2 linked regions of the Stegostoma tigrinum genome follow. The protein of the gene in region 2 purifies or fractionates together with the protein of the main gene of each other region. This does not show direct contact. Links are inferred from orthologs where the notes say so. Each region holds a gene or a part of one and is shown on either strand. Other genes may lie near its edges.

Region 1 (15,790 bases), on a different chromosome or scaffold from region 2:
AGTAGTAGATGGAGATTATCCAGGCCGCCTCCCAAAAAGAAGCAGAGAGGCTTCCCACTTCCCCATTGCAAGCTTGGGAATGGATATGTAACCAGATTGTGTCCTTCGTGAAGAATTGTCTGTGTTTTCTGGTGTGCTGCCCTCTATCTTGCAGAAGCAGAATGCCAACTCTTAGATACTTCCATTTTCTCCTGAAACTTATCCTTATTACTGACCACCAAGCCGTTCCCACAACTGTCAATGATGTCAGCTCCTCCGGAGGTCTCAGAGAAATGGAAAGCAGTTGAACAGCTTCCCAATGCTGTACTCTTTTTTTTTTATTTTTCCCCTGAAGTTCACCAACTGGCTTGCCTGCAAAGATCCATCCTTGATATCAAGATTACTTGGCATGAGGTTTGCTACTTGGCTGAGAAATCAGCCAACCTTTGGTGGGAAAAGGTTGGGGAATAATTCAAAATGTGTGTAGCTGATGCTATGAATTTGAATGTGTAGTGCTGTGCTCTGCGTTTGTGCTCAAATTCCCCAGCATCATAAAATCATGGGTTAAAATATTTTGTCACAACTCATTTTTCAAATTGGCACTGACACTATTTGGTTCTGATTCTAAATCTCAATCTAATTGAAAGCATCCTCTCAATTTCTTATGCATGGCTCCTGAAAAATTAGTGGAATCCAGACTGCTAAAACTAGCATTTCATCTACTTGGGCTACATCTATCCTGCAGTCTTAAGTCTATTATTCCTCTGTAGTACCAGGTTTACCTGAAATGTAGTCTAAAGGCAGTGAACGATCACCAAGCAGCTTATCCACATTCAGTGCTGCAAGTGCTCAGATATACAGGGACAGAAAATTGGTAATGAAAATAAACCATAACAACACAACCCTGTCACTTGAGTGCAATTGACTGCACAGTCGCTGTAGTGCCAGAGGATTATGAGAACACCAACTGGTGATGAGCTTCACCTGAGGGTCACCATGATTCAGTTGAGGGGTGAGATTGAGAAAGTGGGACATCAGCCAGTGAGAAGATCAAATCTGCAGTGTTTCACCTTGCTTTGAAAACAGCCATTCAGCCAACTGAGTTAATTGGCTGCTATTGATATTATAAACTGCTGGAAATGTCTTTGTGATTGTCCAGTGCGTGAATACAGTAATCAGGATGGATATATATGCAGCAAAGTCCTGTGCAGAAAAGTACTGTTTTTAATAGCCAAAATAATCAAGATCCTGATTTATGTACTTGTGCTTACAAAAATAACTTTTTGTTTACTAATTTCTTACCGTAGCAAACTTCTGAGCACTGTTGAGGATGTTGCCCACACACATCTGAGCACTTGATGCATTTGCGCAGCAGTTTGTCCCAATAAAATCCTGCAGCCTCATTGCAGCTCCAACTTTCTGATTTAAAAAGTTAGTTACAAAAGGCAAGCAAGTCAACTTATATTTTCCATAGATCACTTACTGCTATAAAACACAAATAATAAGAGAATTGAGGAGAGGATTAAGTAGTAAATTTTCATCTTCGCCTGGGTTGTTATTCATAGGTGTGAATCTCTGTCCCATTCATTTCAATGCAATGAAAATCAGGTTTAACAATGGATGAGATTACTGATCTCGGGTAGATAAAGGTAAAACATTCTATACAACTGTTTATAGCTATCGGGTTAGCATTTAGGAGCTGGGGTATTCTTCACTGGGTAAACGTTGATATTCGGGTGATATAATTTTTAAAATGAAGGGAATAAATCCTGTTTAGATTGATAGATTGAGTTAAATTAGAAAAAAATTAGGTTGTGCTCTTGTCAAAATACAAAAAAAGAATCTAAGGGTGGGTGGTATTTAATCTCAAGGCATCATGAACTCTGGAATAGATTGCTGTGTCTGATAGTTATGGATTCACTACTGTTTAACGAGAGCTGAGCAAGTTCTGTATAATTGAAAGAATAAAATAGAATAGAATTAGCTTTATTATCATGTTACCATGTTACAGGTACATGGGAGTAACTAATTAGTTGCTTCTGTCTCCTAAAGCATGTTTTCAGCAGGATTGGTAAAGAACATGAGTTTTGCTTAAAGATCTCTGACGCCAGCATTGGTAATTCTTACTAGAACAGTGTGGAGCTGGAGGAACACAGCAGGCAGGCACCATCAGAGGAGCAGGAAAGCTGATGTTTTGGGTCCCAACCCCCCTCCAGCAAAATGGTTTCACTTAACTTGGCCTAAAGTTTTTTTATTTCCTCCTCTCTACTTTTTTTCTGTCAGAACTTCGCACAATTCACCAGCTTCAAAATCTCCCCTTCCCCCCACCGCATCCCAAAACCAGCCCAGTTCGTCCCCTCCCCCCACTGCACCACACAACCAGCCTAGCTTTTCCCCTCCACCCACTGCAGCCCAAAACCAGTCCAACCTGTGTCTGCCTCCCTAACCTGTTCTTCCTCTCACCCATCCCTTCCTCCCACTCCAAGCCGCACCACCATCTCCTACCTACTAACCTCATCCCACCTCCTTTACCTGTCCGTCTTCCCTGGACTGATCTATCCCCTCCCTATCTCCCCACCTATACTCTCCTCTCCACCTATCTTCTTTTCTCTCCATCTTCGGTCCGCCTCCCCCCCTCTCCCTATTTATTCCAGAACCCTCACCCCATCCCCCTCTCTGGATGGGTCTAGGCCCGAAATGTCAGCTTTTGTGCTCCTGAGATGCTGCTGGGCCTGCTGTGTTCATCCAGCCTCCACATTTTATTATCTTAGATTCTCCAGCATCTGCAGTTCCCATTATCACTGATACAATTTGACCGGGTTTTGGATTAGATTGGCACAGCCTGTAGATGCATCAACTACCTTTAGTTTCCCTGTCTTTTCTATTGTCTAGCTTGTAAGTGAGTCCTGCTGATGGAATTCTACCAGGTTAGAATTATAGATCGGTTAGCCTGACGTCAGTGGTGGGTAAGATGCTGGAGTCAATTATAAAAGGTGAAATTACGAATCATTTGGATAGCAGTAACAGGATAGGTCAGAGCCAGCATGGATTTACGAAGGGGAAATTGTGCTTGACTAATCTTCTGGAATTTTTTGAGGATGTAACTGTGAAGATGGACAAGGGAGAGCCAGTGGATGTAGTATACCTGGACTTTTAGAAAGCCTTTGATTAAAGTCCCACACAGGAGATTGGTGAGCAAAATTAGGGCACATGGTATTGGGGGAAAAATACTGGCTTGGATTGAAAATTAGCTGGCTGACAGGAAGCAAAGAGTAGTGATAAACAGGTCCCTTTTGGAACGGCAGGCGGTGACCAGTGGGGTACCACAAGGTTCAGGGCTGGGATCGCAGCTATTTACAATATACATTAATGATATAGATGAAGGCATTAAAACTAATATTAGCAAATTTGCTGATGACACAAAGCTGGGTGGCAGGGTGAAATGTGAGGATGTTATGAGAATACAGGGTGACTTGGACAGGCTAGGTGAGTGGACAGATGCATGGCAGATGCAGTTTAATGTGGATAAATGTGTGGTTATCCACTTTGGTGGCAAGAACAGGAAGGCAGATTACTATTGAAATGGAGTCAAGTTAGGCAAAGGGGAAGTTCAACGAGATCTAGGTGTTCTTGTACATGAGTCAATGAAAGCAAGCATGCAGGTACAGCAGGCAGTGAAGAAAGCTAATAGCATGCTGGCCTTCATAACAAGAGGAATTGAGTATAGGAGCAAAGAGGCCCTTCTGCAGCTGTACAGGGCCCTGATGAGACAGCACCTGGAGTATTGTGTGCAGTTTTGGTCTCCAAATTTGAGGAAGGACATTTTGGCTATTGAGGGAGTGCAGCGTAGGTTCACGACGTCAATTCCCAGAATGGTGGGACTATCATATGTTGAAAGATTGGAGCGACTGGTCTTGTATACGCTTGAGTTTAGGTGGATGAAAGGGGATCTGATTGAGGCGTATAAGATTATTAAGGGATTGGACACTCTGGAGGCAGGAAGTATGTTTCCACTGATGGGGGAGTCCAGAACCAGAGGACACAGTTTTGAAAACAAGGGGTAGGCCATTTAGAACAGAGTTGAGGAGAAACTTCTTCCCCCAGAGAGTGGTGGATATATGGAATGCTCTGCCCCTGAAGGCAGTGGAGGCCTACACTCTGGATACTTTCAAGAAAGAGATGGATAGAGCTCTTAAAGATAGTGGAATCAAGGGTTATGGGGATAAGGCAAGAACAGGATACTGATTGTGGATGATCATGCTGGCTCGAAGGGCCGAATGGCCTACTCCAGCACCTATTGTCGAGAGGATACATATCGAGTCAGAAACAGCCAAAGATTTGATCCTCAGCCTGCTGACGTTGGCTTCCTTTCTTTCTTTGGTACTGAAGAAAGGAATATTTTTCGGCTTAACTTCAAACAAAAAGGCTTCAAAAACATGTAGTGAACGGACACATACCACAATATGTCTTGCACGCACTTTTCCAGTTATGCCCACAATTTGTACACTTGGCGCATCGTCGTAAGAGACGATCCCAGAACTCCTCATCTGAACAGCTGCCCATCCCCTCTCCAACAAGAGGACGGTGGGATCTTTAAAATCAATTAAGATTATTTTGTTACAGATTGATTTAAAATAAGTTTCATAGAGACTTTCATATCCTCAACATTCCAAATAGCTGCGCAACAAATTTCCTGCAAAATAAGCTTTGCAATTATATTCAACAGTGAACGAGATGGTAGGCCATTTAGTCTGATCCGTGATGGAGTTCAACTCATTGATCTGTAGTAGACAGATAAAGAGAATACAATAGATTATGAAAGGTTTCTGAGCCTTGGGAGACTTGGTTACAAAATGATGGCACATTATCTTAAAGTGTGTGTGTTAATGGAAAATGGTTGTGGGGTCAAAACAAGATGAATAATTCTAAATTACTTGATTGACAGCATCAAGTTAATATCATGTGTAGCATAGGTGCATTGGACATCTTTTTTGATTTCATGTAAACGCTTTGAAAATAGGCATGAGGTATTATGTTGAAATGTATCAATATTTGGAGGCATTACAAGCAATGAAAGAAGTCTGAAGATTGCAATAAGTCACAGATGGCTTGCAGAGTGGGAAGAGATGTGACGCACAAGAAGTGTGAAGTATCACATTTTGGAATCTGACAGTTGCTTATTTTAAGAAGGAATTTATTAAATATTGAATCCATTTAAAGAATGTGAGATAAGGATGGGGAAATGCGATTACAGTAGATGATTCCAGATAAGGAGACAATATATGTGCAAAGACACCTTTTTTGTGTTTTCAATTATTGTTTAATTCTGAAGTAAAACCAAAACTTATGCAAGTGGAATATTTAGTCATAGTGGATTCCAAATGCAAAAAGCAATTGACACGGTATATTTTTGAATTAGGTTAAAATAGACCATACTTTGACCCTGCTAGGAGCATTTAAGATGACGCTTTCACATTAATGTGAAATGGTTTCAACTTTGGCCTGATGCTTAACTTTGTGGATAAATTTTGCAGGTTCCACCTTTATTGAAAGTGCCTTGCAAGAAATTAACAGGATTTGTTGCTTTTGGCTGGGATCTCTTACAGAACTCTAGATCTTCATTTCAAGTGAAATCCTACGTGGGAGTAAAGCTGAGTGAGTTGTACCTGCTTGATAGGTTGACCATGTGTGTTGATATATTGAGAGATTGTTACATAAAATCTGCAACAGCCAATAATGTTGCTTTCAAACAATTTATTTTTGTCATTTTATATTTGCATTGGATTTAAATGTAGATTTGATTTTAACTTGCTATTGCCTTCATGTAAATAGCACCATTGCATAATCATGTTTTATTTTTCAATCTTGCTGATCTTTATATTAATTCCTGAACTGCATTCAGCTGATCAACAGCTATAAATCTTATGAATTTTATTCCTGTATCTAAAACTAACCTCACCAAGACATGCATTTTCCACTAAATTGTTTTAGAATTTCATTCCACTCTTGCCCTTTTTTGTTAGATCAGGGTAAATTGTATCTCAAGCTCTTCCATGAATTAATGTCAAGTCCTGTCGTTGAACACCCACCCAGCCCCCCAACGCTTTCAGTGCCTGGACTTGGTGAGATGTACCTACCTGGATAGGAGTGGATAAAGGCAGCAGATTGAAATGATGCAAATATGGCTGTGCCATATTTCTTGCCAGTTACCCCATCTTCTGCTCATTGGAGCTGCCTATTGTGCACCTGTAGCTCTTAAAAAGGAGTCTAAAATGGTGTTGCTAACCTTTCCAGGTTTGACCTAGGTATTTCAGAGATTGAAGCTTAATTTTCTGGACAGTGCTGCAAGGAGAAAAGGTCGTCATGTGAATGTAAAAACTTTTTTTTCTTTGAATAACTTTACAATTCATTTTAAAAATAAGAGGCTGTTTTTCTGTAAGTCAAGAACTGTTGAATTATGTAAGAGTCTGTTTGCTTTCCTGGAGCTGGAAAGCAGAACTACACGGGGACAGCTCTGTTGGATGACCAATAGCAGGAAGGTGGTTGGGCTGAAACATTTTGGAATGTGTCTGGCTGGTGATAACAATACTATTTGAAAAATAGTTGATTGTTCATTAACTCCTCCAGAATGTTGCCGTTCACACACACTGAGCAAACTGTGCAGAGAAAGCTTTACACAGCATCTAATCTTTGTTGGACTTGCCCTGGGGTTGTTTGCCATTTGTGGTTTGGAAGGAACTTTTCCATGCATCTAATTCTGTACCTGATCTTATGTAAAAGGTCCGATTATCGTGCATCCACTGTTTTTTCCTAATCTGCATGGTCATTTGACCATAGTACAACCCTGGAATCCCTGTGTAGGCCAACACAAGTTGTCCTTTTTAATGAGCAAGAAAATATTACGGTACCCAGCTACAAGGGAAAATTAGCTGGTTGTTGTTTTGGTCCAACATGTGCTGTTGCTGATGAGTGTCTGTTTTGTTGCTGCACTCGTGCTAATCTCATTGTGAAATATGATAGCCACACAAATTCACGGAAAAATAAAATAGCCTGTATAGTAATTTTGAGATGTCTGGTATTACAGTGGGAAAACTTGGTAAGAAGGACAAAGCGCATGCATCTTCTAAATGTCCCTATGCATTCACGATTTACTACTGCTAAAGAGCAACTCAACTTATTCAAAGCATCTCTGTGAACATATCCTTCATCCTTAGTTTTATTTTCTGTACCGAACCTGGTAGTTATTTACTCAGTTTCTTTGATTTTCATTAGCCCATTAAGTGCGAATCCTGGAATTCGGGCTTGGACAAGACTTGATAATACAAAATATAGAAATAGGCATCTTGAGCAGTAATAAGATTCACATACTTCGCTGAACACCACTTCTTTTTTGAAGCTCAAAAGATAACATCTCCTACTGAGGAGATAAAGGGACAATATTACTTGGATTCCTTTTTTTTTCTCCACAAGCTATAATATGTGGAGCCTGTTATTTCCCATAATCTTGCACTTCCTTCAACATGCTGCCTGCTTTTGAAACCCAGGCTTCAAACAATGTAGTCATTGCAGCTTTGCATACCTTAATCATACTTCCTGAATCTTTTAAATGTGGTTTGATTTGGCCTTGCTTTGAGTTTTCACAAATAATGTAATGCCTTGTGATATCATTTCAATCAATATTATATGAACGTCGTCTTTCAGAAATTTAAATAAAGTTTAGAAAAAGGATAAGTTCTTGTTTAATGATCTGACAAACTACGCAAATTCTTCAAGTTCTGCATTGGCATGATTGGGTATAAGAGTTAAGTATATTCAAGATAAAACAAAGTAGATTCCAAGAATTGGAAACACACATTACAACAATACATGTATCAAAAAAAAATTGTTTGAATTCAAAGAACCAAAGTGACTTTGAGAATCCTACTGATCATTTTTAATCGAAGTTTCTCTGATTATAGGTTTCAGATTTTAATGCACTCTATCTATTGAGTGTCATTTGGGGCCCCTCGTTAAATTAGGGATTGTGCAGGTATCAATGATTAAGAGAATTTCTACTTGTTTTGAGTGAATGTCAGATTGAACATCTATTGTAAAGTAATGAAGTAAGTAATTCAAGTAGTTGCATTTGTTTTGCTAATAGGAACAACAAAAATATTATTTTGTAGAAGAAATTCTGCCCCGGTATTATCTGCTTCTATTTTTCAGAGTTAAAATTAGCAAAAGGAAAATGTTACATATTGTTATAATTAACAGAGTAGGAATCAAAAGTTTTGATGAGAATACGATTATCTAATATTTTATGGGATCACCTGTCTGTAGTTCAAGTAAAAAAAAATCCCACAACCACTCAAAATCTGGTGTTAAGTAATAAATACAGCCTGTCACCACCTCTTCCAACTTGAAAACATAAACATAAAAGATAAATGGAATAGAGAGTTGCTGCGTTAAATGGTTGTTAGTAAGCTGAAGAGATGAAAGAAAAATGACTCATCTGAAGGTTTTTCTTTTCAAGAAGAAAGAATGCAAGTGTGACTGATTAAATAACAATTAAAGATGGCCTCAGTCATGTTTCCTGCACCTTTGTTAATGAGCCAATTAATTATGGAAGAAAAAATGATCATTGCATGAAAAATTCATTTTTAATTCCAAAATGTGCTTATGAAGCCTGGGATCCACTTAACTGTTCTGAGGAATGGTCACCGGATCCGAAATGTTAACTCTTTTTTTTTTCTTCTTCACAGATGCTACCAGACCTGCTGAGCTTTTCCAGCAACTTGTGTTTTTGTTCTTGCAGCATCCGCAGTCCTTTTGATTTTTATCCGCTTTACTCAGATTCCATTCCTGAACACACTGCAGTTGGCATTAATCCAATAGTTGTGTTGTAATAAAGGTGTATAGTCTGTCTGTGCCAGATTGCACACTTGCAGCAATAGTAACTCCCCTTTTTGTTGTTCACGGTTTAAATTTATGGTTAGGTAATTGCTATATATCTGGTTTGAACTTGGACACAACTGAAATGCTTTGGGTTTTGTTTTATCCTTCCCTCTTTCTGCCTTTATTGTAGGGACTTCCTAGATAGCTACCCTAACACACACATGCTTTGTTAATTTGACTCCTGAAGCCAACTAGTTTTGGACTGTATTCATGTTAGGAATAAAATATGCTGTGGAGTCTTTCAAAGTGCTATCTGACCTGGATTACTTTTGTGATTTTTTTTTTTTGCTTCCATTTTCTCTTGGTGGTTATGTCAGCTGCGGCATTTAACTAACAGATCAATATTTTATTTGTCGACCTGAGTTTTATTTTCTGCACTCTGCAGTGTACCTATTTCCTTCTTCAACTTTCACCAGTATAAGCAAGATCCAAATAATTTAAGTTATTCAAATGTATCCTCTAGGTCAGGAATAAAGCAAGCTAGAAATGTTCGGGTCCATGCAGCATTCTCTGAGAGAGATGGAGTTAATGTTTCAGATGTGAGCTTTCCACAAACGCAGATATAACAATTGCACTGGTCAGCTATTCCATTGTATATATGATCTTTTAAATGCAATCGGTGAAACTTTTGGCGAAGGACTGAAATCCTTAGTGCTGTGGGGAAGGGCTGATTCAGTGAGACAGCTGTATTTAAATAAAGCTGAACCAAAATCCCAGTGCGATGATGCAAATTTGTTTTAAATAAGGAAATTTTGTGGAGAGGGAATCTAATAGTTCAAACGGATCCTTTCAAAAATGGTTGAATACTATTTTCTTAACATTTGACATACTAACAACATGCTTAAGAACTTTATACATTTGGATATGGTACTCACATTCTCTTCGTTCCAGGTGGCTATCTTCTGCTGTTTCTCAGTACATTTGCCTGTGTCAATCAGAATGTGAAACTTCTCGTTTTAACAGAAGGAAGAACTTCCAGGGGCTTTCCCTGGTCAGCTTACAGCAAATTTCGAGACTGAATTGAAATGCAGATATTTTATCATGAATTTGTGCATAATCATTAGTCATTTAACCATTTTGTAAAGATTTCAAACTCTCTTGCAGTACTATTTCTGACAAGTGCAGATGTAAACTGAAAATGCCAGAAACAGTTTGATGTGTGAACAGAATTTTACTTTTACTTTAAAGAATCAATAAGCTGTGTATTTTTTTTAACCCATTTGTCATTGATTTTCTGGAGTTCAAACCGAAGCTATTGAATACACAAAAAGAAATATAAGCCTGCTTCCCTTTGATCAATATCAAGGATAACTTGACATTGATACTTCAAACGTGGCCCAGGATGTACACCAGTAACCCCACCACTACTTGAGGAACAAGCAAAGGGCTAAGATTGCTCTTGAGCCATTCCAGAAAAGTGATAGGGGAGAGTCAAAAAGGTGATTAGGATGGTATCTCCATCGGCTCACGTTTTTGCCTACGATGATGGAAATGCCCTTCTTCTTATCGCACAGTTGACTTCAGCTGTACCCTTACATCCATGTCACTGGAAAATGCAATGGCTCTTCTCATCCCTCAGATCCCATTTGCTCACTGCTGCTGATCACAAATTGTGTTGCGCTGATCTCTTAGACTTCTCCCTCTGCATTGATTTCATGTAACTTCACACCTCCTCCACTATTACCAGCACACAACTTGGCAGGCTATTTATTAAAAATTCTTCAAGAATGAACAAGGAAAGAAGAATAAAAGAAGGAGATGGAGGGCTGTTTCTCAGGCTGGAGGCCTATGACTAGCAATGTCCCACAGTACTGGGTCTGCTAGTTTTTGTCATTTATATAAATGATTTGGACAAGACTATAGGAGGCATGGTTAACTTTTTGGATGACACCAAAAATTGGCCTTATAGTGGATAGTGAAGGTTATCCAAGGTTAGAGATCTTGATCAATTGATCAATGCACTGAGTGGCAGATGGAATTTAATTTGGATAAATGCAAGGTACTGTATTTTGATAATACAAACAAGGACAGGACTTGTATAATTAATAGTAGAAGCCTGGGTGGTGTTGTAGAACAGATAGACCATGGGGTTCAAGTGCATAATTCTTTTTAAGTTGTAGCACAAGTAGACAGGGTGGTCAAGAAGGTGTTAGCATGCTTGCCTTCATTGCTTAAACCTTGGAGTGTAAGAGTTGGGATGCCTTGTTGACATTACACAGGATGTTGGTGAGGCCTCTTCTGTATATAGTCTAGTTGCCCTATTATAGGAAGGATATGATTATTGAATTGGAGAGAGTTTGGAAAAACTATCAGGATGTTGCCAAGAATGGAGGATTTAAGATCTAAAAAAAGACTAGAAAGAGTGGGACTTTTTTCACTTGAGTGTAGGAGATTAGGTGACTTTATTGATGTTTATAAAGTTGAGGGGAATGGAAAAAGTGAATGACAAGGGTTTTTCCCCTAGGGTGAGGAGTTCAAAGCTATAGGGAATATTTTCATGGTAAGAGGAAAAAAAAATTTGCAAAGGACATGATGGGTAACTTTTTTTTTTGCACAGTGATTTGTGTGTGGAATGAACTGCCAGTGAAAGTGGTGGGTGCAGATGCATTTATGATATTTGAAAGACATTTGGATAAGTTCATGATTAGGTAAAGTTTGGGAGGATGTGGGCCAAATGTCGGCAGGTGGGACTGTTTTAGTTTGGGAACATGGTCAGCATGGACTGGTTGGACCGATGGGTCGTACAGCATGGAATCTGACTCGCGTAATACTTTGTTTTTGTTCCTTATTTAGTTCACATACTGACGTTCTTGTGGCTGTTCTGCTACTCCTACATAGTGCTTTGGCAGAGGTAGAGGCAAGCTGCACAGATTCCTGTTCTGATTGCCCATGAGTATCTCAGCAATGTTCTCTGGGCTTTGGAGGTCCTAAGATTGCTCTGCCTGGTTGAATTCAATTGGACTATCCCTTTTTATTAATGGACTGGACAACTCGGGCAATTTTCTATATTGCCATATAGGTGCCAGTGAAGTATTTACACTAGTTTAGGTTTGCTATGAGTGCTGGATAGAAAGTCTTAAGTACTTTTGCCAGAATGCCCTCAGAGCCCGTAGACTTTGCGGTCTCCAGTGCCTTCAGCTGCTACTTAATATTACTTGGAAAGGAGTGAATTAAATTACCTGAAGGCTGGCTTCTGTGATGACGGGCATCTCAGGAGGAGGCCAAGATGGATCATCCACTTAGTCCTTCTAGCTGAGGACGGTTGCAAAATCTTCAGTCTTATCACCTTGCATTGAATTGCTGAATAGCCCCCTTCATTGAAGATGTGTAGATTTGTGGAGCTTCCTCCTTGAGTTATTTAATTGTTCATGACCATTCACCAGTGAGATATGGTAGGGCATTCGAGTTTAAATCTATCTGTTGATTTTGGAATTACTTAGCTCTATCTATATTAATGTTAATCTGTTTAATATGAAGACTGGACTTGGTCTGCACAAGGACTGTGCATTGTTCACTACTTTCAAAGCTCTCATGAACAGACTGTGTGACAGATTGGTGATCTAGGTGTTTCCCTTGTTAGATCCCTTGCTGTGTTGCCAGTCCAGGCTAGTCAATATGGCCTTCAGTACATCACCAACTCAATCAGTACTGGTACTAGTGAGCCACTCTTGGTGGCCAATGAAGTCACCCAATTCCGAGGGTAAATTCTTTGCCCTGGCCGCAATCAGTGCTTCCCCCAAGTGCTATCCAACATCGAGAAGTACTGATTCATCTGCTTAACGGTGTGGTAACTGGTAATCACCAGGAGATATCACTTCTCTATGCTTGACCTGATGCTGCAAAACTTAGTGAAGTGTGGAGTTGATGTTGAGATGGGTATATTCAAAATGGTTTGTAGTTGTGCTTTAACTTGCAACAATTTTAATTTCCCACCTGTTCTTTGGGATCAAACTCCTCCCCTTTGTATCAATGGGTAAGTGTTATCAGAACCTATGACTCAAAAAATGCTAATTTATTTTAAAGCACTGTTCAGTTTGACTGTGTTTCAGCAATGTTTGAAAAAATTATAAATGCATTTCTTAGTCTGTGAGCCCTTTTGAATTAGTTTGTTGCAGGGGAGTTGATTGGATAGCTTTCATAATGTGAGTCAACCACAGCATTGAAGGCCAAATTAGTCAAACAGAATACGTGACAAAGAAGGGGCGGGGGATTTGCTTTCTTGTTCACTTTTTCGTACAGAAAAGGTTGTGTGTGAAACCCATTTGGAAGCTGTGCAACTAAAAGGGGAAGCCTCAATGCATAAATAGAATCATGAATCGCAACCTCTCCACTCAGAGAGGAAATGAGATGATTCACGTTGTATTAGTTTTAGCTGCATTTCCTGCTAGCAAAATTAGCTTGAAACAAACAAAACAGCAACCTTTAAAGCTTCTTCTCGTTTTTCAGCTGCAGACAAATGAAGCATTGGTACAATGAATAGATTTTTGTGCTGAGATTAATGTGCTGAAATCTTAATTCAGCAACGAAATATGTCTTGCAAGATATTAAAATAGTTAAATTCTTAGAGTGGAACCTTATTGGAGTCTGAACGCTGTAGGCTATGGTGTTGTTTGTGGTACAATTAGGTAAATTGTATTTTTTTTCACAAGTGGTGTGGCAAGTTGCCAGTGGAGAGGGATTATACCTTATTAAAAACCTTGTTGACAGACAAACACTCGTCATTAATATTCAGCTTTCTATTTTCCTAATCTTTCCCATCTGACCCATCAAGCTAGACAGCGAGAAAACTGGGTATGGAAACAACAGCAGGTGCATGAATTCAGCTCATTGGTGCTCAATGTCTCCAGGTAACCTCCATGAGCAATCGCCAAGCACACCCCCAATCCATAGACATTGGCATCCAATATGTGTCTTCACCTGACAGCCCTCATGATGCATCTCTGATTCACTTACAGGCTACGTCTGCACCTCAGGCTGAAATGGCAACCGTTAGTGTCCTTGCTGCAGCAATACAATGTGTGCGCTCAGAGATGTACACCAACTGGACCAGGCTGTATCTCTGGGCTCTTCACTCACTGTCATAGCACTCACTCACTCTGAGCTTACCTTGAGACTCTCAGCATTTCTACCATACCTTGCCTTGGCTTTTTGTGCTTTTAATATTAAGAAACATGGAAGTGTGTGGCACAACTGATTTGATTGCAGGTGGTGAGGTGTCCTAAATATGTGACGACACAATGTGAGGGTATGCAGGGTTAGTGGACCCACCAGAAGGGCTGAATAACAGCAAGTGAGGATAGATGCTGCAGACCCAACAGCAGAGACCGAGTGAGTGTGGGTTGCTGAGAGCACAGGTTCCAATATTTCCTCTTTAACAGTGGACATATCTGTAGGAGGTTGAGACGTCATCTTGTAGAAGTTTATAACATCACAAGGGATACAGATAAGGGTTAATGGGAGTTGCCTTTTCCCTAGAATAAAAGATTTCAAGACTAGGGGCTACATTTTTAGGGTGAGGGAGAAATTTTAGAAAAGATATAAATGGCATCGACTGCCGTTTGCTTATGGAGTAAACCTTTCATGAGGAAGTGGTGGCTGTGGGAACAATTATAATGTTAAAAAGACATTTGGTTAAGTACATGAATAGAAAAGGTTTGGTGGGATATGGGCACATAGAACTAGCTTAATTTGGGATTATGTTTGGCGTGAACTGATTGGACCCAAGGCACTGTTGCTGTGTTACTTGACCCTGACTGAGACAGCTTTGACTCAGGTGCCAACCTCAGGCCAGTTGGCAAGGTCTGGTATCGTGGCCTCCTTTACCAGTCCTGAAGCAAAATTGAGACCTGTGAGTCTGCACCACCCCATCCAGCAGGTTTGGTTGATTGGCAGGATTTCTGCCCCCCTGCACTTTGATCTTGGGGGGGAAAAGTCAGCAACTGGCCTGATAGTTTTACACTTTCTACAGGCAGACTTCTCCAAAGGATACACTGTAGGGGTATTAGTGATTGGCTGGACAATGGGCAAGAACCCCTGTCCACCTACTGCCCACACACTCTCATCTGGATTCACAAGACTTGACATTTTGATATTCTGTAAATGTTAGTGAACATTCAATGTTAATGTAATAGACATGAGGACTTGTGTTTCGAAATCACTAAGGTTTCATTGCTCCATAGCTAAACAATTTTCAGGATTCATGTGCAACTATACGCAAGTTGTAATTTATGTGAAATGGAATTTTTTTCATTGATATAATAATTTGAAACCAGACAAATTAATGCACCCATAATCAACGATCCACAGCTTACAGAAGAAAGTACAAACAAGGTCGAAGGCACAGTTCTAGAAACAGGTGCTGCATTGCCTTACATTTGTGTACAGCACAGGATGCCTCAGCTGGGCCACTTTTTAAAAACTCTTTCATTTGATCACAAAAATAAATACAGATTATCAAGGCCATTCAGCCCATCTAATTCATCCGTGTATAGAAACCTAAAGTCCTATGCTATTGTCTGTAAACTAAGGCCATCAGTCTCAGGGAAATCTGCGATAGTGCATTCCCCAATTTGACAACTGTCCCCAGGTTAATCGCAAATGTTTCCTTTTCTCTCTGTCAATGACTTGGTGAATTGCTGTGATCACCTAACCTGTCCAAATTTTCAGTTGCCAAGGCCAGGGAGATCTGTCTCTGCAGTTGGCCTGTACCAAATCCAACTGAGGCAGCTTAAGGTAACCTGGGTGTTGAATGCACAAGAATTGGCATTAGATTTTGTCACGTGTACTCCAGTATAGGGGTACGGGAGTACAGTGCAAAGTTTAGTGTTGCCATTCCTGGTAACATCTTAGGTACAAAATCTTAGTGCAAAGTAGAGGT
Region 2 (15,698 bases):
CAAAAATATACTAACGTACATGAAAAACTTCTGTCCTCAATGCACAAATATTTTATACCAGAAACAAGCTGTGATACTCACCAAGTATTTGCAAATAAAGACTCGAACCATTAAGGCTAGCAGCGCACTCCCTACTAATCGGAAAACACGGAATGTACCAAACTCTTCAGCTCCGCCTCCATTTTCATGATTGGACTTCTCATTCATCAGCTGATTTCTAAGTTTCATTGCTTCATCAAATCTTGATATATACTGCTCAATACCACGACGTGGAGCACGCTGGGCCTGCTCTATCGGTACATCAGATTTGCCTAAGTGCCGATTTCCTGGCCCTAAACTATTGTCAGCCTCATTAATTTTGCTAAGCGAGTCTCTTGTGTCTACAGAATATGGTTGTTGAAGCTCTTTTCCGTTAGTGTAATGAATGGATGCCACTGAGCCATCAGCAGTTTCATTTGAGATTCCTGGGGTTCTTTTTGGAAGGCTAGAATTTTGCAGCGACTCTGTCTTCTCCAGTTCAAACGGTGGAAGAGAATCTGTTCGGTTCTCCTCTTCTGAAATAGAAGGAAAAATGAGAACGATTATATTTGTCTTTCCTATTAACAGCATTCGAAATTTACAGAAATATTCATCTGAGCCTTTTTCAAGTCAGCAGGACATTCCTGAATTCTTTACAGTGATGTTCACCATTATTGGAAGTTCAGGTAATTTTCTTCTTCACCAATGCCCTATTTCATGCCTGATTAGACACTGTGCAAGTAAAAAGTGTGTAATTTCTTATATCATGTGCCTTAATGCTAACCTAAGAAAAACACTCCACACTGCATTTGTTTTATTTAGGGACTTGGTGGGTTACTAAAGAGATTTTCATATCAGCCTAGGACGGATTCTAACATATCCCCAGTTAAGTGAGGAATATACTAACTTAATTAACTGCTCACTCTTAGAAAAAGTTAACTTGCACACTATTTCTGAAGGCTATTTCTGATGTGAAGGTATTAAGCAAAAACAGTGTTGGCATTCATCCATAATTGATCATATACTTGTTTCATCTGGTGAGGGTTCAAGTCAAAACAACATACAATAGTTGCCACATCTATCAGGGACTGACTAACACTACGTCTGCTCTCCTGTATCCCACAATTAAAACAATAAAGCAGAAGTGCAAGTGGTTCAAGTATTCCTGATGCATTCTCAACTGTTTTGTACTACCATCGTCACTCTAACTTTGTCTGTATGTTTTGAAAGGTACAAATCATTAACACCAAGCTAGATCTAAGATAGTAAAGTGTGGAGCTGGATGAACACAGTAGGCCAAGCAGCATCTCAGGAGCACAAAAGCTGACGTTTCGGGCCTAGACCCTTCATCAGAGAGGGGGATGGGGTGAGGGTTCTGGAATAAATAGGGAGAGAAGGGGAGGCGGACCAAAGATGGAGAGAAAAGAAGATAGGTAGAGAGGAGAGTATAGGTGGGGAAGTAGGGAGGGGATAGGTCAGTCCAGGGAAGACGGACAAGTCAAGGAGGTGGGATGAGGTTAGTAGGTAGCAGGTGGAGGTGTGGCTTGAGGTGGGAGAAAGGGATGGGTGAGAGGAAGAATAGGTTAGGGAGGCAGAGACAGGCTGGGCTGGTTTTGGGATGCAGTGGGGGAGGGGATGAGCTGGGCTGGTTTTGGGATGCAGTGGGGGAAGGGGAGATTTTGAAGCTGGTGAAGTCCACATTGATATCATTGGGCTGAAGGGTTCCCACGCAATAAACAACTGCACCTCCCAGTCGCAAACCATTTCAACTCCCCCTCCCATTCTTTAGATGACATGTCCATCATGGGCCTCCTGCAGTGCCACAATGATGACACCCGAAGGTTGCAGGAACAGCAACTCATATTCCACTTGGGAACCCTGCAGCCCAATGGTATCAATTTGGACTGCACCAGCTTCAAAAGCTCCCCTTCCCCCACCGCATCCCAAAACCAGCCCAGCTCATCCCCTCCCCCCACTGCATCGCAAAACCAGTCCAGCCTGTCTCTGCCTCCCTAATCTATTCTTCCTCTCACCCATCCCTTTCTCCCACCTCAAGCCACACCTCCATCTCCTACCTACTAACCTCATCCCACCTCCTTGACCTGTCCATCTTCCCTGGACTGACCTATCCCCTCCCTACCTCCCCACCTATACTCTCCTCTCCACTTATCTTCTTTTCTCTCCATCTTCGGTCCGCTCCCCTTCTCTCCCTATTTATTCCAGAACCCTCACCCCATCCCCCTCTCTGATGAAGGGTCTAGGCCTGAAACGTCAGCTTTTGTGCTCCTGAGATGCTGCTTGGCCTGCTGTGTTCATCCAGCTTCACACTTTATTATCTTGGATTCTCCATCATCTGCAGTTCCCATTATCTCTGATACCAAGCTAGGTCTAAATCAGTTCACAAGAATGTATCAACCACCATCTTCAGATTGCATTATAATGGTTTCTCTGGAACTGTAGTGGAATCAGTCATAATTGGGATGCAAGAATAAATATTCTGAAGTTATGCTTCACTAAGAGAAAAATATGCAAAACATTCCTCTCAGATAGTTAAACCTGTATTGGAAACCTGTAAATAAGTTGGCTTAAACAAAACATTTGAACCACCATGTTTCCAATGGGAGAACTTGGCTACGACAATTTTCAATGCTGCTTCACAAGCTGAGGTGGTCAAGAATTAAAGAATAATGTGAAATGAACATCCACGTTCGTGATTATAACAGATATCATGCCAGATTTGTTTATAAAAATGTTATACAAGTGGTTAAAGAAAAGATGATAAAGGAATATTCAAATAGGTTGACCAAAATGAATTTTAAGACAGTTGCTCCTGACTAGCACCAAACCCACATGGTACCAGGCTAAGTGATTCCACAGAAGCGCAACACCACTTGGTGTTGAGTGGACTACCAAAGTGTAACAGGAAATGTGTAAAAACGTGGAACTATGCAAGTCAGTTAGCAAAGGAAAAACAGGTTGTAACATTTCAAGTATGTATTTTTTGAGTATACACAATATTTAAATCAGATAGATTTCTATAACTTGTAAATGCTGACTGACCAGCTGTGTTCCTAGCATTTCCTTTTCTCAATGAAATTTCAATAAATTATCTTTTGCCTTTTATTACCAGGCAAAGCATATTTTACATAGCTTAAAGTAACAAACTATTGTTACAGGCTACTAGACTAGGTGGGATTGAGGTTCACAAGGAAGAGGTATTAGAAATCCTTCAGAAGGTGAAGATAGATAAGTCCCCTGGGCCGGATGGGATTTATCCTAGGATCCTCTGGGAAGCCAGGGAGGAGATTGCCGAACCTTTGGCATTGCTCTTTAACTCGTCATTGTCTACAGGAATAGTGCTAGATGACTGGAGGATAGCAAATGTGATTCCCCTGTTCAAGAAGCGGAGTAGAGACAACCCTGGTAATTATAGACCAGTGAGCCTTACCTCAGTTGGTGGTAAAGTGTTGGAAAAGGTTATAAGGGAAAGGATTTATAATCATCTAGAAAAGAATAAATTGATTAGGGATAGTCAGCACAGTTTTGTGAAGGGAAGGTCGTGCCTCACAAACCTTATTTAGTTCTTTGAGAAGGTGACCAAACAGGTAGATGAGAGTAAACCGGTTGATGTGGTGTATATGGATTTCAGCAAGGCGTTCGATAAGGTTCCCCACAATAGGCTATTGTACAAAATGCGGAGGAATGGAATTGTGGGAGATATAGCAGTTTGAATCGGAAATTGGCTTGCTGAAAGACGACAGAGGGTGGTAGTTGATGGGAAATGTTCATCCTGGAGACCAGTTACTAGTGGTGTACCGCAAGGGTCGATGATGGGTCCACTGCTGTTTGTCATTTTTATAAATGACCTGGATGAGGGAATAGAAGTAAATTTGCAGGCGACACTAAGGTCGGTGGAGTTGTGGATAGTGACAAAGGATGCTGTAGGTTGCAGAGAGACATAGATAAGCTGCAGAGCTGGGCTGAGGTGGCAAATGGAGTTTAATGCAGACAAGTGTGAGGTGATACACTTTGGTAGGAGTAACCGGAAGGCAAAGTACAGGGCTAATGTTAAGATTCTTAGCAGTGTAGATGAGCAGAGAGATCTCGGTGTCCATGTACACAGATCCTTGAAAGTTGCCACCCAGGTTGACAGGGCTGTTAAGGAGGCATACAGTGTTTTAGCTTTTATTAATAGAGGGATCGAGTTCCGGAACCAAGAGGTTATGGTGAAGCTGTACAAAACTTTGGTGTGGCTGCACTTGGAGTATTGTGTACAGTTCTGGTCACCGCATTATAAGAAGGATGTGGAAGCTTTGGAAAGGGTGCAGAGGAGATTTACTAGGATGTTGCCTGGTATGGAGGGAAGGATTTACGAGAAAAGGCTGAGGGACTTGAGGCTGTTTTCATTAGAGAGAAGGTGGTTGAGAGGTAACTTAATTGAAACATATAAAATAATCAGAGGGTTAGATAGGGACAGCCTTTTTCCTAGGATGGTGATGGCGAGCACGAGGGGGCATAGCTTTAAATTGAGGGGTGAAAGATATAGGACAGATGTCAGAGGTAGTTTCTTTACTGAGAGTAGTAAGGGAATGGAACACTTTGCCTGCAATGGTAGTAGATTGGCCAACTTTAGGTACATTTAAGTCGTCATTAGACAAGCATATGGACGTATATGGAATACATGGAACATCGAGGGCCGAAGGGCCTGTACTGTGCTATTATGTTCTATGTTCTATTATTTCTGGGCATTTGAAATACAGATAATGATTGTTAATAGATGCATGTAATAGGTACAAAGACAACTTACTGAATAGCTGATGCCTCATTGCATTGGTCACAATGAGTAAGGGATTGTACAAAAAAAAGATGCTTGCTATTTTTGGGACAGTGACTAATCAACAGTAGGTCACTGTAGAATCCAGATGCACAGGAAGCGTGTGATCCAGGGTCTGGCATGGCTGTTTACAGAGTTTGAGACCACTGGAGAGGAAATTAATAGATCTAGAGAAAGAGCAGCACTCCAAAAGCTTGTGATTTGAAATTTCCATTTGAAATGCCCAGAAACAGAACAATGTCTGTTTGTTACCGTAACAATTTGTTACTGGTAGAAATGAATAGAATAACATTTTTATGAAATGTTCATGTATACATATCTGATAAATTAGCCATTATTCCAGATTGCTGAAAATCCTATCTAAATTAGATAGGCCAAAACAATGGGTTCTAGTCCTTTGCTCTGAAAAATTTCCATTATTGCACATCAACCCACTCTTCCAAAATAAGTCAGATCAGAAATGTTTATTTTATCCAAAAAAAAATTTTCAGCCACAAGTATTGTCACAACACAAAATTACTGCAATTCATTAGTGTGCACTGTATGATATCTGTAAAAATGTCAAATAAAAACCAAAAGAACTGCAGAGTGCTGCAAATCAGGACCAAAATCAAAGTTGCTGGAAAAGCTCGGCAGGTCTGGCAGCATTTGTAAAGGAGAAAATCAGAATCAACATTTTGGGTCCAGTGACCCTTCCTCAGATGTAAAAATATCAGCTTCTCATGGGTTTATAATTATCTATTGTGAAAACAGAATATGTACTCTTCCAACATTGACAGCTGTAAATATCACTTATTGTAAGTAGTACAGTTCAAGCCCCTCCTGAATTAATACTGTCAGATAGACAAACACCATCCAGACACAGTTTGATTTTGCCATTTGAAAATTCTGCCTCCTTCAGACTATTTATCCTGCACTCAGTGAAGACAGAAAATTAATACTGCCCCACCCTCTCTTTCTTCCCTTAAACTCCACTCACAAATAAGGCATCTTTATCTTGAATGTAGACATACCAATACTTTCCAAACCCTCAAAGCCAATGTTTTAAACACTGTCTTAAGATATAGTTAAGCCAATCAACCAGGCATCAGGAGAACAATCAAAACGAAGGCTAAAAAGGTGATTTTTAAACTAACCATCACCGCCGCACCCCTCCTCTCAAGCTTGAGTCGTTAGTACAAGAATTTATCACATTTTCAGAACCACACTCCTCATCAGGCTCGCTCCCACCGCGCCCTGGAAATGTGCTGCATTTGCTTTCAATAAGAGTGGGCTTTGTTGCTTTGGCGGAGAACAGCCGGCCCGGCTATTGATTTTGATTCATGGAGCTGGTGGAAATAAAACGAGGCTGGGGTGAGGAGTGATGGTGCCCCCTGTGTTTACAGCCGCCCTCTCTAACCCTGCCCGGGGTGGGTCGGTTGCTAAGGGGCTGAAGCACGGGGAGGGTAGGACCAGGCCGCAATCCCTACTCCCACTCACCCGGGCCCGGCCCGCTCCTACTGAAACCCATGATACGGTTCAGCCGCTCCTCCGAGTTCAGCAGCAGCTTTCTCCGGCGGAGCTCGGCTCTCCTCCGCTCCGAGCTCATTTTCTTCTTCTGCTGTTGCTGCTGCTGCTGCTGCTGCTCCTCCGGATCGGCGCCGCCCTCCATCCCTCCCGCTGACAGCGATAGGCGCGGGTGGAGCCGGCGGACGCACTCTGATGATGTGTCACCAGGGGCTCAGCACCAGCACATGCTGTCATTTGCTGCTGGCTGTGGGAATCGCAATCACACATGTTCACACAACAAATCACCGACCTCAACTTTTTCCAAATTATTTTAGCAAATGCATAATGCACTTAAGTAAGGCAAAACGCTGGCTGAAATCTCGTATAATACAGAAGGGCTTGGAAATGTATTGTGGATGCTGGGGCCAGGAATGGGCAATATCAAATTGACAAAGTGTGGAGCTGGATGAACACAGCAGGCCAAGCAGCATCTCAGGAGCACAAAAGCTGACGTTTCGGGCCTAGACCCTTCATCAGAGCCCGAAACATCAGCTTTTGTGCTCCTAAGATGCTGCTTGGCCTGCTGTGTTCATCCAGCTTCACACTTTGTTATCTCGGATTCTCCAGCATCTGCAGTTCCCATTATCTCTGATCACAATATCAAATTGACCACCCGTTATCCACGGCTCCTGTTCCGTTCCAAATAAAAACCGATAGAACTGTGGATGCTGTAAATCAGAGTTAAGGTCTGGTGACCTTTCCTCAGAGCTCACCGGACCTGAAATGTTAACTCTGATTTTTCCCTTCACAGATGCTGCCAGACCTGCTGAGCCTTTCCAGCAACTTTGTTTTTGTTCCTGTTCAGTTCCATTGCAGTCAATGCATTTAAATATCAGACGCTGCTTAATGCAGGCAGGCCACCCATTCTAGCATTATTATCCAAAACAAATATGTGCCCATGTTGCTGGAAAAGCAACATTAATGACAAATGGCATTATGTTGTAAGGGCCAAGGGGATAGTAATCAGACAAGTAACAAACGATGTATTGAACCTGCTGACCATGGTAATACTTGTTATTTAACAATGGAACATCTGCCTTATATAGGCTGAGGGACAATTCTCTGATACCTCCTCCTCCCTCTCCCTGTGGCATAACCTTCGCTTTGAACATTAAGTAATTGTTTCAAGAACAATCATGGACCTCATCTTCTCTGGAGACCTAGCCTTCATGATTTCCCAACATTACTGATTCTCTCAATACCACACAACTTCCTTCCTAAGAACATCAAATAGAAACTGCTGCATAGGACACCCACAGTTTCAACGTGTTCTTGCCTTGTGGAACTCTTTTTTCCCTTTCTCCTCTCTACCTAGTGTTTTCCAAACCACCTCTGTAATTCTTCTAACACCATTTGTCAATTTAAAGGATTGTTCTTTCTCTGTCCTGACCATTACCTTTTCAGCAGGATTATCCAATTCCCTCACATTACTATCCTCCACAAGGATGGTGTAAAGTTCTCGACTTTAAGCTTGAACAGTGTCCAAAACAGCCTTCACTCACCACTGCTTTCCTCAATCTATTAATATATTCACATTTTGAACAACTCCTCATTTGATTCCCTTGCCCCCTCCAAATTAAAAAAAGGTTTCTTTAGAAAACTGTGTGAGTCCTAATCATTCATACTTTTTAATGTGCTGAATCTGTGTAATACTCTTTGTTGCAAATTGACTCAAAGTCCTCAATGACTTCCTTGGCTCAATTGACTGCACCCCTGAGTCAAAAAATGATTGCTTCAAGTCTCACTCCAAAGACTAAATTTATGGCTGTTCAATATGCTAATGACAGAAAGATAAATATATGCATAAGCTGTGAGAAAGACATGAGAATTCTACAAAGGATATGGATAGATTAAGTGAGTTTGCAAAACATTGCCAGATGAAGTACAATGTGTGAAAATGTGAATTTGTACACTTTGGCAGAGAGAAGTTTTAAAAAGCTTATTGGACCACGTAAGATCCCACGGAGACTTGGCTGAGTGGATACTGAAAGGATGTTTCCACTTGGGGAAGAGACTATAACTAGGAGGACACAGTTTAAAATAAGTGGTGTTCCATCTAAAAGGGAGATGAGAATAACTTATTTCTCTTAGACAATTGTGAGTTTGTGTAATTCTGTTCCCCACAGAGCAGTGAAGTCAGAGTCCTTGAATAATTTTAAAATGCTGTTAGAAAGTCTTGGCTAACAAGAGAATCAATGATTACAACGAATAGAAAGGAAAGTAGAGATAAGGCTACTCTTTGAGACAAAATAGTCTTATTCTCTCGAATCTATTGCAAAATTATATCTTCTTATTCCCGATATATCCTCATGAATCTACTGTCTCGTCTCTCTTACTTTACAGTCCACTCTACAATAGGCATCCCATACTACACTGAATACTCCATCTTTTGCCCAGCCACTTCCTTGTGTAATTTTATCAGAATCATTTTGCTGCTGTAAAACAGATATTCATTTTTGTTCCTTTCCCTTCAATTATGTCAATATTGAATGTCATTTTGCTTAATACAGACAAGTTCTCTTCACATAGATATTGAGAACTCAAGGGAACCAATACTGAGGTGTGCAGTATACCAGATCATGTCCATTCTAAGCAACATTTGTGAACTCTAACACTCTGCGCTGAATGGTTAACTCAGAGCCAATTTAGAGAGGCCAATCACCAATACTTAAAGGCATTCCTGTAATTGAAATTAATATTTCATAGTGTAATGCTTGTGGAATTGCAGCTCATTCTTTTGACTTACCAAAGGCATCATGCTTATTTATAAAGAAGCTTTAAAAGCAGAGCTGATTAGATGAATCTTGATATGCATAAAAGCAGATGCACAACCAACTCAATATACTGAGAATGTACAAGTCATGAAATAGTTAGGAAAATGCTATAAAAATATATCAAAGATAGAAGAAAAAGTTCAAGAGAGTCCAAAATTTCTGATAAAAGAAGAACAGATTAATAAATCAAAAAGTTAGAAGAAAATGTTTAAACATAGCTGTAAAATAACACGGTGTGAAGCTGGATGAACACAGCAGGCCTAGCAGCATCAGAGGAGCAGGTACATTTGATGTTTTGGGTGGGAACGCCTCTTCAGGTCCTGACCCGAAATGTCAAACTGTCCTGCTCTGCTGATGCTGCTTGGCCTGCTGTGTTCATCCAGCTTCACACCGTGTTATCTCAGATTCTCCAGCATCGGCAGTTCCTACTATCTCTATAGTTGCAAAATAAATGTCTTTAAATTAGCTGTACTGACCTATTGGAAGGTCATGATGGAATAAATAAGTTCCAGAGAGAAATGCAACCAGGTACAGCAAAAGTTTTATTTTTTTCTATTCAGTTATTGGGTCATTAATCACTGAACAAAGTCTCAATAGGCTACCAATGTACATTCAACAAACAAAACATAAATGTTTATTACAAAATAAAAAAGTAGGAATTATATTATACTATTGAAGAATCATTTCCAACCACCTTACTACAAATATCAGAAATAAAGATTCTATTCTTACCCTCAAAACAACTTTGCAGACATTCAAATCTCAGTGAAGGGTCATCCTTTTTCCACTTTAAAACTTCTTGTTCAGTTGGCACAGTGTAATCAGTTCCTTTTGGGCAAATTATTGAATTCACTCTATACCTTTTTTTAGCTAATATTTCTCTCTAAGACCCTTAAGAGAATCGCTAATGAAACTCCCTAATTATTTAACATAAGGGATCCTTAAACTCACCTTTGTCACATCTTTCTGCTTCTGAAGTTTTCTTCTAAAGACATTTTCCCCAGCTCTGACCCCTGGAGGCTATTATTAACAGCACTTCTGCTGTGTTAAGAGCCTCTTCTCTTTGACTGAACAGGTTCACCAGTTCCTCTTCTGAATGGTTCTGACTTTCTGTACCAGTGGAGCCCTGTTGCTTGGTGATAAAAGTATTGTTTTCCCCTCCTACTCTCTTGTCTACTGCATTGAACTGTTTACATCAAGGATTTAGCTACCTCATTGAACTGTTTACATCAAGGATTTAGCTACCTCATTGAACTGCATGTAAATAACTTTCAGATACTCTGGCATGATTCTCAGAACAAATCTCAAATCAATCATTAACTATGTATTCTTCCTTCTCAACACACACAATATAGAAACAGAAGTCAATTTTACAGCTGTACATCACTCCTCTACTTTAGAACGTAGGTTTCTAAACAAAAATAACACGATGAAGATTGATGAGCTGATGCCCAAGTAGAATTAAACAAATATAACATAGTAGCTATCATAAAGATGTTGTTCCAGGGTGACGAATACTGTTAACACAATATTTCAAGGTATTTGATGTTCTATAAAAATAGGCTAGAGGAGCTGAGTTAAGCATTATTATTAAAGGAAGGTATCAATCCTGTGGTGAGCAGTGATATTAGTGCAATAGGCAGTGATGTGGAATCAATATGGGTGGAAATAACGAACAGCAAGGGAAAGAATTCACAAATAGGAGTCTTTCGGTCGCCAAAGAGTTGTTTTACTGTAGGACAATATATAAATCAAGAAATAAAAGTGGTCAGCAAGAAGAACAATACAAGTGTCATGAGTGATTCTAATCTGCATATTTGCTGAACAAATCAGTTGGGGAAGGATAACATGCAAAAGTGTTTCTTAGAGCAGTGCATTGAGCTACCTACCAGAGAAAAGGTTATGTTTGGATCTAAAAATGTGTACTGTAGTAGGATTAATAGGCAGTCTCATGGATAAGGATCCTTTGGAGATAGTAATCACAATATTATAGAATTACAAATTCTGTACAAGGGAGACTCAGGCCTCAAACCAGTGTCTTTAATTTAAATAAGGACAGTCACTGAGAAATGAGGAAAGAGTTGTCTGATGTGAGCTGGGAAAATGGATTAAGGGGAAGGTCAGTAGATGCACAGTGGTTTAAGTGGATATTTCATTATGTTCTACATGCACAATGTAAATCTTTTGGGTTGTGTCCGGAAAACAAACACTGAAAAAGAAATTGTTGTCACAGCCAATGAAACATTAAAGTTAATTTGACATTTGTGATTTTGTCATAGAATAGGATTAATATTATTCTTCTAAAACATAAAGCTTTAATGTAGTTACGCCAATTATTCAAATTTTAAAGTGGGTACGTAATTTACTAATACATAATTTCATAGGGCTTGGGCTTCACTGACAAATAATTTACTAATTATTTTAAAGGATCAGAAGTCAGATGAAAGGATGAAAGAGCTGGTTTTAATGAAGAGATAAATTTGTTCTGATTGAGATCGAGTAGAAATGGATACCCATTTGGATTTCACTGTGAATTGTGGGAGCTATTGGCTCTGCAGCCAGCTTTACACTCCATTCAGTTAGCCGTTACTTTGGCTTCAATGAAAGATCAAATGTAGCCTAAAAAATGCTGTTGATTCATAAGACCATAAGACCATAAGTCATAGGAGCAGAAGTTAGGCCATTCAGCCCATCAAATCTGCTCCGGCATTCAATCATTGCTGATAAGTTTCTCAAGCCCATTCTCCCGCTTTCTCCCCATCATCCTTGCTCCCCTTGATAATCAAGAACTAATCTATCTCTGTCTTAAATAGACTCAATGACCTGGCCTCCACAGCCTTTTGTGGCAATGAATTTCATAGATTCACCACTCTCTGGCTGAAGATGTTTCTCCTTATCTCCATTCTAAAGGATCTTCCCTTTACTCTAAGGCTGTGCCCTCAGGTCCTATTGTCTCCTGCCAATGGAACCATCTTCCTGACTTCCACCCTCTCCAGGCTGTTCAGAATCCTGTAAATTTCATCCTTCTAAACTCCATCAAGTGTAGACCCATAGTCATCAAACGTTCCTCATATGTTAAGCTTTTCATTCCTGAGATCATTTCTGTGAACCTCCTCTGGGACCACTCCAGGGCTACTACATCCTTCCTGATGTCTGGGGCCCAAAATTGCCCACAGTACTCTAAATGTGGTCTGAACAGAGCTTTATAAAGCCTCAGAATCACATCTCTGCCTTTATGTTCTGGACTTCCTGAAGTAAATGCCATGATATGGAGATGCCAGTGTTGGACTGGGTGGACAATGTCAGAAATCACATAACACCAGATTATTGTCCAACAGGTTTGTTTAAAAATGCAAGCTTTTGGACCCTCACTCCTTATTCATTGTATTTGCCTTCCTAACTATGGATTCAACCTACAAGTTTACCTTAAGAGAATTTGGGCTTGGACTTCTTTGCACTTCAGAATTTCTGAATTTCAGAAACTAGCTTATGTCCTACCAAAGTGCATGATCTTACACTTTCCCACGTGGCATTCTACTTGCCACGTCTTTGCCCACACTCCTAACCTGTCTAAATATTTCTGTAGCCTCCTCACCTCCTCCATACTACCTGCCCCTTCACTTATCTTTGCACCATCTGCAAACTTAGCCAGAATTCCCTCAGTTCCTTCATCTAGATATAAAGTGAAAGGTTGTGGTCCCACAAGATTGTGGATCACAGCTAAACACCAGCTGGCCTGCCACCCTGAGAAGGACCATTTTATCTCCACTCTCTGCTTTCTGCCAGACAGCCAATCTATTATCCACGCTAGTACTTACCTCGAACAGCATGGCCCCTTATCTTACTCAGCAGCCTCCTGTATGGCGCCTTGTTAAAGGCATCTGGGAGTCCAGGTAGATAACATCTATTGGTTCTCCCTGGTCTAACCTCTTCATTACCTCCTCAAAGAATTCTAACAAAGTTGTTAGGCATGACCTCTTCTTGATGAAATCATGCTGACTTTGCCCATTCTATCATGTACTTCCAAGTATGCAGAAATCGCATCCTTCTCGATAGACTCCAAAATCTTACCAATGACCGAGGTAAGGCTAATTGACCAATAACTTCCCGTCTTTTGCCTCACTTCCTTCTTAAATGGGGGGTTTATATTAGCAATTTTCTAGTGCTGTGGGACCCATGCTAACTTCAGTGATTCCTGAAAGATCACCACTAACGTGTGCACTATCTCTTCAGCTATCTCCCTCAGAACTTTGGGGTATAGTCCATCTGGTCCAGTGAATTTATCCACCTTCAGATCTTTCAGTTTTTCCAACATCTTTTCCTTGTTGATGGCCTCCATACGCACATCTTCCCCCAACTCTGTTGAATTTTTGTGGTATTACTGGCGTCTTCCACTGTGAAGACTGATGCAAAGTACTCATTCGGTTCCTCAACTATTTCTTTGTTCCCCAATATTGCTTTTCCCAGTGTCATTTTCCTATGTCTACTTTTGCCTCTCTTTTTCCCTTTATACATCTAAAGATTCATTTTTGACTTGTTTGACCAATCACTAGAGGTCAATTTCACCTCCTAGTGTTGAACAGTAAATAGAAAATGGGGGATAGTAATTCAATCTTGTAAATATGTTACGGCTCCACCGATGCAACTCACCATAAATTGAGCTCTGCTATTTCTGGAGCTGTACCAAATGTTAAAGATTTTTTTCTAAGGTAAACACAGTACCCGAATTTAACTGACTTTCAAACCAAGGTTGATAGGAAAGACCATCTAGGTTTGTACTTAATGAAAATTATTATTTATTATAAACAAATAGATGATAATTGCAAGTATATAGATATAAACTATTGACATATGACACTGCTAAACTTTAATCCCTCTATAAAGACTTCCCTAAAAACACACACACACAAGCAACAGCAATTGATGATAGGTGGAGGTAGAAGCAACTGGAAAGTTACTTCAGAGATAATGGGAACTGATGCTGGAGAATCCAAGATAACAAAGTGTGAAGCTGGATGAACACAGCAGGCCAAGCAGCATCTTAGGAGCACAAAAGCTGACGTTTCAGACCTAGACCCTTCATCAGAAAAGGGGGATGGGGAGACGGTTCTGAAATAAATAGGGAGAGAGGGGGAGGAGGATCGAAGATAGCTAGAGGAGAAGGTAGGTGGAGAGGAGACAGACAAGTTAAAGGGGTGGGGATGGAGCCTGTAGAGGTGAGTGTATGTAGGGAGGTAGGGAGGGGATAGGTCAGTCCATGGAGGGCGGACAAGTCAAGGGGGCGGGATGAGATTAGTAGGTAGGAAATGGAGGTGCGGCTTGAGCGCGATCAGGGGGCGGTAGGAGGAGGTGTCGGAGAGTTGGCATCTGGCCTCAGCAATGTAGAGGTCAGTGTGCCATATTACAACCGCGCCTCCCTTGTCTGCAGGTTTTATGGTGAGGTTGGGTTTGGAGCAGAGGGAGGGAAGAGCTGCACGTTCCATGATCCAGCGGGCAGTAGGAGGAGGTGTCAGAGAGTTGGTGTCTGGCCTCAGCAATCTGACTCTCCGACACCTCCTCCTACCACCCCCGGATCATGATTGCTTTGCTCACAGCCTCCACAGCCAGCAGCCCCAGAGAATACAGCCACACTGAGCCCTGCCGAGTCTTCACAATCCCCGCAGACCTCCCCCGACGGAGGATGAACAGTCAGTCCTCAGCAAGGGGCTCACCTTTGTCCCCCTCCACCCACACATCAATGAATACCAGTCAAGTCTGGACATCGAGCAGTTTTTCCACCGCCTTTGCCTCCACGCTTACTTCTCTAACCATGAGCCTAACACTCCCTCCACTGACACCTTCACCTGCCTCAAATACATGTCCGCCTCCTGGAGACCACCCCCAGGCCTCCTACCCTCCCTTGACCTCTTCATCTCCAATTGCCGTCGAGACATCAATCGCCTCAACCTCGTCACCCATCTCACCCACTCCAACCTCTCCCCCGCAGAACATGCAGCCCTCCGCTCCCTCTGCTCCAATCCCAACCTCACCATAAAACACATGGACAAGGGAGGTGCAGTTGTCGTATGGCACACTGACCTCTACGTTGCTGAGGCCAGATGCCAACTCTCCGACACCTCCTCCTACCGCCCCCTGGATCATGACCCCACACCCAAGCACCAAACCATCATCTCCCAAGCCATCCACAACCTCATAAACTCAGGTGACCTCCCATCCACAGCTTCCAGCCTCATCATTCCCCAACCTCACACTGCCCACTTCTATCTCCTTTCCAAAATCCACAAACCTGCCTGCCCTGGTCGACCTATTGTGTCCGCCTGCTCCTGCCGCACCGAATTCATCTCCCCCTATCTGGACTCCATTTTCTCCCCCTTGGTCCAGGAACCCCCCACCTACATCCGTGACACCATCCACGCCCTCCACCTCCTCCAGAACTTCCAATTCCCCGGTCCCCAACACCTCATTTTCACCATGGACGTCCAGACCCTATACACCTGCATTCCCCATGCAGATGGCCTAAAGCC

The links.
Region 1: the proteins of camlg (region 2) and tumor necrosis factor receptor superfamily member 13B purify together in Homo sapiens (affinity purification with western blotting; 3 studies listed by BioGRID and IntAct, with this or other methods). This does not show direct contact. The link is inferred for Stegostoma tigrinum from reciprocal best matches to the Homo sapiens genes CAMLG and TNFRSF13B.

Annotation. Positions count from the first base shown.
Region 1 is NC_081376.1:20,342,259-20,358,048, forward strand, and holds the start of tumor necrosis factor receptor superfamily member 13B, read right to left. Parts: upstream 6,310-15,790; 5' UTR 6,206-6,309; coding exon 6,117-6,205; intron 4,571-6,116; coding exon 4,437-4,570; intron 1,399-4,436; coding exon 1,282-1,398; intron 1-1,281. UniProt on the Homo sapiens protein: Receptor for TNFSF13/APRIL and TNFSF13B/TALL1/BAFF/BLYS that binds both ligands with similar high affinity. Mediates calcineurin-dependent activation of NF-AT, as well as activation of NF-kappa-B and AP-1.
Region 2 is NC_081366.1:30,781,447-30,797,144, reverse strand, and holds the start of camlg (calcium signal-modulating cyclophilin ligand), read right to left. Parts: upstream 6,538-15,698; 5' UTR 6,504-6,537; coding exon 6,332-6,503; intron 555-6,331; coding exon 82-554; intron 1-81. UniProt on the Homo sapiens protein: Required for the post-translational delivery of tail-anchored (TA) proteins to the endoplasmic reticulum.